Linked DNA regions of Pelodiscus sinensis. The protein of the gene in region 2 interacts with the protein of the main gene of each other region in a biochemical or structural test. Links are inferred from orthologs where the notes say so. Each region holds a gene or a part of one and is shown on either strand. Other genes may lie near its edges.

What was found. The genes of interacting proteins can lie anywhere in the genome.
Region 1: the proteins of LRRK1 (region 2) and PDCD4 form a complex in vitro, tested with the Homo sapiens proteins (2 studies listed by BioGRID and IntAct, with this or other methods). The link is inferred for Pelodiscus sinensis from reciprocal best matches to the Homo sapiens genes LRRK1 and PDCD4.

Annotation. Positions count from the first base shown.
Region 1 is NC_134718.1:66,934,851-66,938,596, forward strand, and holds the start of PDCD4 (programmed cell death protein 4), read right to left. Parts: upstream 2,376-3,746; 5' UTR 2,220-2,375; intron 1-2,219. UniProt on the Homo sapiens protein: Inhibits translation initiation and cap-dependent translation. May excert its function by hindering the interaction between EIF4A1 and EIF4G. Inhibits the helicase activity of EIF4A. Modulates the activation of JUN kinase.
Region 2 is NC_134724.1:7,440,543-7,444,288, reverse strand, and holds the start of LRRK1 (leucine-rich repeat serine/threonine-protein kinase 1), read left to right. Parts: upstream 1-1,243; 5' UTR 1,244-1,399; intron 1,400-1,537; exon of another isoform or gene 1,538-1,779; intron 1,780-2,354; exon of another isoform or gene 2,355-2,487; intron 2,488-3,746.

The DNA.
Region 1 (3,746 bases), on a different chromosome or scaffold from region 2:
ATTGTTTAGTTAAGGGTTTTTTTATTATTTATATTATGGCAGAACAATGAACTTCAATCAAAGAGCAAGTATTCATTGTGCTTGACTCTACATGAAAAAACACGGAAGTCCCTGCTCTGGAGAGCTCACTATCTGGGGGTAGACAAGATAACAGGTGTACATAAGCGGGGGGGGGGGGGGGGAGAATAAAATAAAAGAATTTGCAGAATATTGTAAAATACTGCAAATTCAAAAAAGGATCCTGGGGCCTTTGTTTTGGAAAGAGGTGTGATTTTTAGTTTTTTTCTCAACTCCATTACTTTCTCTGGTTTCTGATGGACAAGGAGCTTTTCTGGATCATTCTCAGTCCTGCATGTTTGAATGAGATATTTCTATATATGTAGGTATTTACACTACACTCATGGTCAAGTAAGTATCTCATGATCACCTTCAACCAAAAATTTCTAGATTGAAAAATCTTTGAGCATGCATTCACTTTTCGAACTGTATTTCCACCTTACCCAACTTCAAGTAAAGGTTCTAATCCTTAATGCCATACAATGTTTTTAAAACTTCAGCCACTGTGATGCAGTCACATTTAAAAAGAAGCAAAGAAATGTGGCTTGAACTTCCCATGATTTTTCTCCCTTTCAGTAGAGGCCAAGTAAGACAATCTACAGCCTGAAATGTTCATATTTCCAGTTTGTGGACTTGTGAAAACAGCATCACAGCAGAATTTGTTTGTGGCCATGTGCTGCTCACCATGGTACTGTAAAAGGATCAGTTTCCATCTGATGTTTACATGTATATACACACTCTTTTACAGCACAGAATGCTCTATATAAATGCTCAGTGCTAGTTTTATATGAGTGTATAAACAGCCTCAAACATTATTCAGAAAAGATTAAACATACACCAAACCTCCACACACAGGTCTTAAAGCACACACTTTAAAGTATCAGAAATAACAACGGAAGTGGTTTTAATACAGATGTGGCAAGTCAGTTTTGTTTTTAAAGGTGCAGCTTTACAAGAAAGAAAGTGACTTTACAGCTTGGTGGGGGGTCAAAATATAAACCTTTTGCCAAGGTACTAACACCCTAAAAGTAGGAACCGGCAGCTTTCCTATACAGAAGTAAAGCAGGCTCCCTCCTCCCCGATAACCACTTCAATCCTAGCGCTGTTTGGGGACAGCCCGGCTGTCACTGTATCCTCACCCAGCCAGACTGGGGACCAGAGTGTCACCCCTTCCCCACAAATGCCAGCGATGGCATCCTTAGGCTGAAGACCAGGCGCTGCTCCGCAGAAGGGGCTTTTAACTGGGGGACGGAAGAAGGGAGGGGGAAAGACCCCACACCACCATCCGCCCCCGCTGGGGGGTAGGGAGGAGAGGGGGCATGAAGAATCCCCCACCCCCATTCCCTGCAGGGGGGGGCACCAACCCCACCAAGGACCCCATCCCCTCACCCCGCAAAGGGGGGCACCCCCAAGGACTCCACCCCACAGAGGGGGGACACCCCCAAGGACCCCACGCCCTCACCCCACAGAGGGGGGGCACCCCCAAGGACCCCACCCCGCAGAGGGGGGGACCCCCAAGGACCCCATCCCCTCACCCCACAAAAGGGGGGCACCCCCAAGGACTCCATCCCACAGAGGGGGGGCACCCCCAAGGATCCCATCCCCTCACCCCACAAAAGGGGGGCACCCCCAAGGACTCCACCCCACAGAGGGGGGACACCCCCAAGGACCCCACGCCCTCACCCCACAGAGGGGGGGCACCCCCAAGGACCCCACCCCGCAGAGGGGGGACCCCCAAGGACCCCATCCCCTCACCCCACAAAAGGGGGGCACCCCCAAGGACTCCACCCCACAGAGGGGGGCACCCCCAAGGATCCCATCCCCTCACCCTGCAGAGGGGGGGCACCAACCCCACCAAGGACCCCACCCCCTCACCCCACAGAGGGGGGCACCCCCAAGGACTCCACCCCACAGAGGGGGGCACCCCCAGGGACCCCACCCCCTCACCCCGAAGAGGGGGGGCACACCAAGGATGCGCCCGGCTCCCGGGGGGGCACATCCCTGAGGAGAGCTGGTAAGGACCCCACACGCCCCCCGGCCAGGAGGGTCGTGGAGCCCAGACCCTCCCCCCCCGGGGGGGATCCCACGAATTTCCCGCCTGAGGAGGCTCCTGGGGAGGGGCGAGGAGCCCCCTGCGCGCGGGGGGGCGGGGCTCCCGTTACCGTAGGCAGCAGCGGTCCCCGCCGCTCCGCTCCCCACAGCCGCCGCCGGCCTCGCGCTGCCCCCTGCGCTGCCCTGTTTGTTTTTGTTTTGTTCTGCCCAGCGACACGGCCGCGAGCGGCCGCCGCCGATTGGCCGGCTCGCGCCACCCGCCGCAGCCAATCACAGGGCGAAGGGGGCGGGGCAGGGGCGGAAGGGAAGGTGTGTGCTCAACCGGCCAGGAGGGAGGGCGACACCATGCGCTGGGAAGTGGGTGTGTTCGGCAGGGAAGGCATAGGAAGGAACCATTGGATGGTGCGGGGAGGAGGGGCCCGGGTGATCCAACACACTGGCTGGAGAGAGGGAGGGGTGAACAAACTCCCCAGGCCTCTTAAGAGGAGACGTATACAGGGCAGGGGGGGAGGGGTCTTTGCTGCCCTCTAGGGCCCAGTGCAGTGGTGGGAGGAGGTCCCAAAGTGCTATGCGCAGGAGGTATTGGGACTCAAATTGCATCCCTAGATTATGCCACCCAGCACTTTCTACGGGGCTGGTCTAAACGAGCTTAGGGCAGCAGGAACCTATGTTGCTGGTAGCCAAATGTCCATGCATTCTGCCACCCTCCAACCTCTTTAAAGGGGAGGGCGTTCAGCACTCGATCAGCCAGCTAGGGTTGCCAGATGGTTTCAACAAAAATACCGGACACACTTGACGTTACATCACCATCGACATTACATCTTAGTTAGAAAACTAGCCAATTGGCCCGTCATAAGACGGGATTTTCAGGTCTCTCCTGAGCCTCCGGTCTCTCGTTCCGTCTCTCTCTCTCTCTCTCTCTCTCTCCTCCTCCTCCTACTGCCTCACCCTCTCTCTCTTTCAGCTCTCCTCCCCCTCCTGCTTTTCACTCGGGGGACCGTGGAGCCCAAATGGCCGTTTGGGCTTCGTACTCCCCGTGCTGCATGGGGGGCATGGAGCCCAAATGGCCGCTTGCGCCACTTGCTCCCACAAGGCGGCCTGGCTGACCAGCGCAGAAGTCAGCCGAGCGCCACGGCGGGAGGTGAAAGGGGGCGGGGCGGTGACATTCACGGGCAGGGGGCAGGGCCTGGAGCTGCTGTCACGCCGCACGTCACCGCCCCACCCCCCTTCGCCTCCCACTGTGGTGCTCGGCTGACTTCTGCGCCGCTCAGCCGGGCCACCGTGAGGGAGCAAATGGTGCAAGAGGCCGTTTGGGCCCTGCACTCCCCATGCAGCACGGGCCACCCAGAGGGAACAGCCAGCATTTCAGGCAACAGCGCCCCCCAGAGGGAACAGCCAGCATTTTGGCGTTACAGACTCTCAGACACTGGGCTACTATATATATGATACCAGACATTTATATTTTCTCAATTTGTTTCCCGAACAGAAAGCTCAAATACTGGACTGTCCAGTTCAAAACCGGACACCTGGCAAATCTACAGTCAGCAAATGCTGGTTTGTTCATTCAGCACTATAAAATTTCTGGGGGCCAGCATATTCACCGGGGCCAGAGTCAGTCAAGTTGCATTCCCAAAGAG
Region 2 (3,746 bases):
GTAGGAGCCAGGTGTGCAGGCAGCCTGGCTCCTACTACATTTAAACAGCAGAGCCGTAGCAAGTAGGTCTGGGACCTAGTGTGAGCCAGAACTGAGGAAGCCTTCCCTTATCGACTAATCCTGTAGTTGATTAAAAATGTTATTAACTACATGATTGGTGGATTACCCACCTCTTAACATCCTTACTCCTCACACCCCTTCCACACCCTTCACCTAGCCCTCCCCCTCCCTTCAGCTCTCCTCTGGCCTTTACCCACACCCCCCTCTCTCCTCCTCCTCCTCCTGCCAGTTCTCTTCTCACCTACTTCCATAGCACTCACCCCACCCCTCTCATTTCTCTTCCCCCCTCCCCTGTCCTCCCTCCTATTTCTCCTTCCCATCCCCATTCTCCCTCTCCTCTCACATTTCCACCCACAGTCCCCTTTTCTCTTCTCCTCTCCTCACTCCTTCACCCTTCCCCTCTCCCCTTACACCCCTGCTCTCTCACCCCCTCCCCTTCTCCCATTTCACCTCCCCATCCTCACTCCCCTTTTTCCTCCCCTCACACACCCCATTGTCATCCCCTCCCCCCTCACCTCGATTTCTCCTCCCCATCCCCATTTTCCTCCCCCTCCCCTCACTCTTTCACCCTTCCTCTCCCCCCACACACCCCATTGTCACCCCCACTCTCACCCATCTCTCCTCCCCCTCCCACTCCCATGTCTCATCTCCCCTCTCCCTCCCCTCCCCTCCATTTCTCCTCCCCATCCCCATTTTCCTCTCCCTCACATTCCCACTCCCACTCCGCCTTCTCCTCCCCTTCCTCTCACTTTCACCCTTCCCCTCCCCTCACACAACCCATTGCCACCCCCACTCTCACCCATCTCTCCTTCCCCTCCCACCTCCATGTCCCATGTGCCCTCCCTCTCCCCTCCCCTTCTCCTCCCCATCCCCATTTTCCTCCCCCTCACATTCCCACTCCGCCTTCTCCTCCCCTTCCCCTCACTTTCACCCTTCCCCTCCCCTCACACAACCCATTGCCACCCCCACTCTCACCCATCTCTCCTCCCCCTCCCACGTCTCATCTCCCCTCCCCCTCCCTTTCTCCTCCCCATCCCCATTTTCCTCCCCCTCACATTTCCACCCCCACTCCGCCTTCTCCTCCCCTTCCCCTCACTCTTTCACCCTTCCCCTCCCCCCACACACCCCATTGCCGCCCCCCCTCCCCATTCCCCGCCCCCCGCCCCTCCCGGGATTGAGGAAGTGCCCCGGCCTGTCAGGCTGCGCCCCGCCCCGTTCCGCGCCCTCCCGCCCGCTCCGGCGCCGCTGCCGCCAGCTCGAGCCCGGGTGGCCGGCGGCGCAGGAGGCGGCTCCGCGCCCCACCGAGAGGCTCCCGAGGCAGGGACCCCCCGCGCGCGAGGTACCGGGGCTGGGCGGGGGGGCTCCCCGCCGCGTCCCTTGTGCCTGAGGGTGGCAGGCCCCCCCCCCCGGGCTAGCCGGGGCCCCCAGCGCGGGGGTGCACGGCCCGGGCCCTGCCCCCCTCCCGGGCCGGGGGCCGCAGACTCACCCCTGCCTGCCGGCGGGAGCCTTGTGGAGCGCGGGCTGGCGGAAGGAGGGTCTGGTGCTCTAGGGAAAAGGGGTGTTTGTTCCCCCGCCTGGTTCTGGGGCGGGGGGGGGGGCTGCTGCTTGCCAGGGCCCCCTCTGCCCCCTGACTTTGCCAGCCCTCTGGTGTCACTCCCCCGGGCAGCCCAAGGTTCCTCTCGAGGCTTGGAGCTGCTCAGCGCCGGGCACTTGGGCGAGGTGTGTTTGGATCCTGTCGGGGTCCACGAAGGACCCTCCTCCAGCCTGTGGGGAGGATTTGCTAAGTCCAGGACACACACTAATGATGGGGGACAAAGAAGAAGAAAAACGCGTGGGAGTGAAGAGGGCAAAGGGCTAAAACAAGGGAACAGGATGGGAAAACCGAGCAGTGGGTGGGTTTGGATGATTAGCGGGTACCTAACTCACATTGCTGCTGCTCTTTGGCAATCCCCAGCCAAAGGGACTCTGTTGGGATGGTAACCCCTTGTCTTACCTTTGTTCTGCAGAGTTAGAGCTGGTTGACCATTTTTTCAGTGATATCCATTTTCAGCGAAAGTGGCTTTTTGGACAAAGTCCATTTTCATGACAAAATATTGGTGTAGAAAGTTTTCAGGTTTTTTGTTGAAACACCCTCCCCCCAACTTTTTTTAAAGTTTAAAAAAAAAATAAGTTGAAGATTTTTTTTTTGCCAAAATAGTTTTTCAGGAGAGGGGAAATCATTTCCTCACCTGCTCTCATCAGAATGTTAAAGCTCTAATTTATTTGTAACTATTTATTCTGATGGTAATGTAAGCATGTGGTTAACTTTGCTCATGTAAAAGTTCCATTGGTATCCCTGGGATTGCTTGTGTGAGTAAAGTTAAATACATGAATATGTGTTTACAAACTCAGGGTCCATCTCAAGCTGCTGCTCAGGAAAAATTAGAGGTGAGAAGAGCATCACGAAAAGAAAACATTTCTATAGATATGTTTGGGTTGTTTGGGTTTTTTTTAATAGAGCCTAATGTTTGGGAAAGGAAATGTTTGGGTTAAATAAGCCATAAGCAGGAAGCTGTTGTCTTTTCATGAAAGCTGGTGGTAGAAGGGAAATAAAGCTAACGTAGGTTAAGGAAAAGCTTCCTTTTGTTCAATAACCATTCCAACAGCCATCAGGAAGCACTCTGAGGCTACATCTATACTGAGGAGCTATTTCAGTATCCCGAAATAACTATTCCACGTCTTAAGAGTAAGCCCATTATATCGAAATATAATGGACTCGCTATTCCGACATCTCTGTAAACCTCATTGCATGAGGGTTAAGGGACATTTCGTAATAGCGCTTTATTTTGAAATTTGGTGCTGTGTAGACAGCGACAAATTTCAAAATAAGCTGTTTCGAAATAAGTATGAAATAAGCTATGCAATTTGCGTAGTGCAAATTGCGTAGCTTATTTCGAGGTAAGGGTGTTGTGTAGACGTACCCTTCGGCTCCAGAATAGAAGCACTTCACTTTTATAGTGTGCATATTATTATTACTTTACTTTCCACTATATAGAACTCTCTCACTGGTCACTTCAGAGTGCTTCATAAATAGTAATTAATCAAATGTTACTATATGTCTGGAGGTAGATAAATAATATAACTACACTGCAGATTTGAAAACTCAGGAATACAACATTTATGTGATTTGCTAAGGTCATACAATGCATATCAGAGGGGGAACAGAACCCAAGAGTTCTTGCACTGACCATTAGCTTTCTCTGTCTCTGCTGCTATGACCTGTGGAATAGTGTACAAATGCATTACCACTTTTCCCAAAACTTGAGGTAGATTCCTCATTTTGACACATGTCACTTGAAGAGCACTTTAAAAAGTCTTCTGAGTGATTTAAGTTGAAAGATACAGAGCAATGTCATGGTATTGTGACAATTGATTTAGTCACATGGGAATTAGGAGAAAGGTGGAAATCCAATGGAGAATGCAGTAGGTGCAAAGGATTGACATTGAATACAAACTCACTTCTGGTTCCAACTTCTGTTATTTTTTGTATGTTTCAGTCATTATTTAAATAGGCACATGGTGCTTTACTTTTCACTCTGTCTACTTTTATTAAATGTTATGAGTGGTATTAGTGGCTGCTAGCAAGTTGCAGGGAGCTAGACTAGACAGACCTCTGATTCTGTGGAAATAACATGGCACTATTTTTT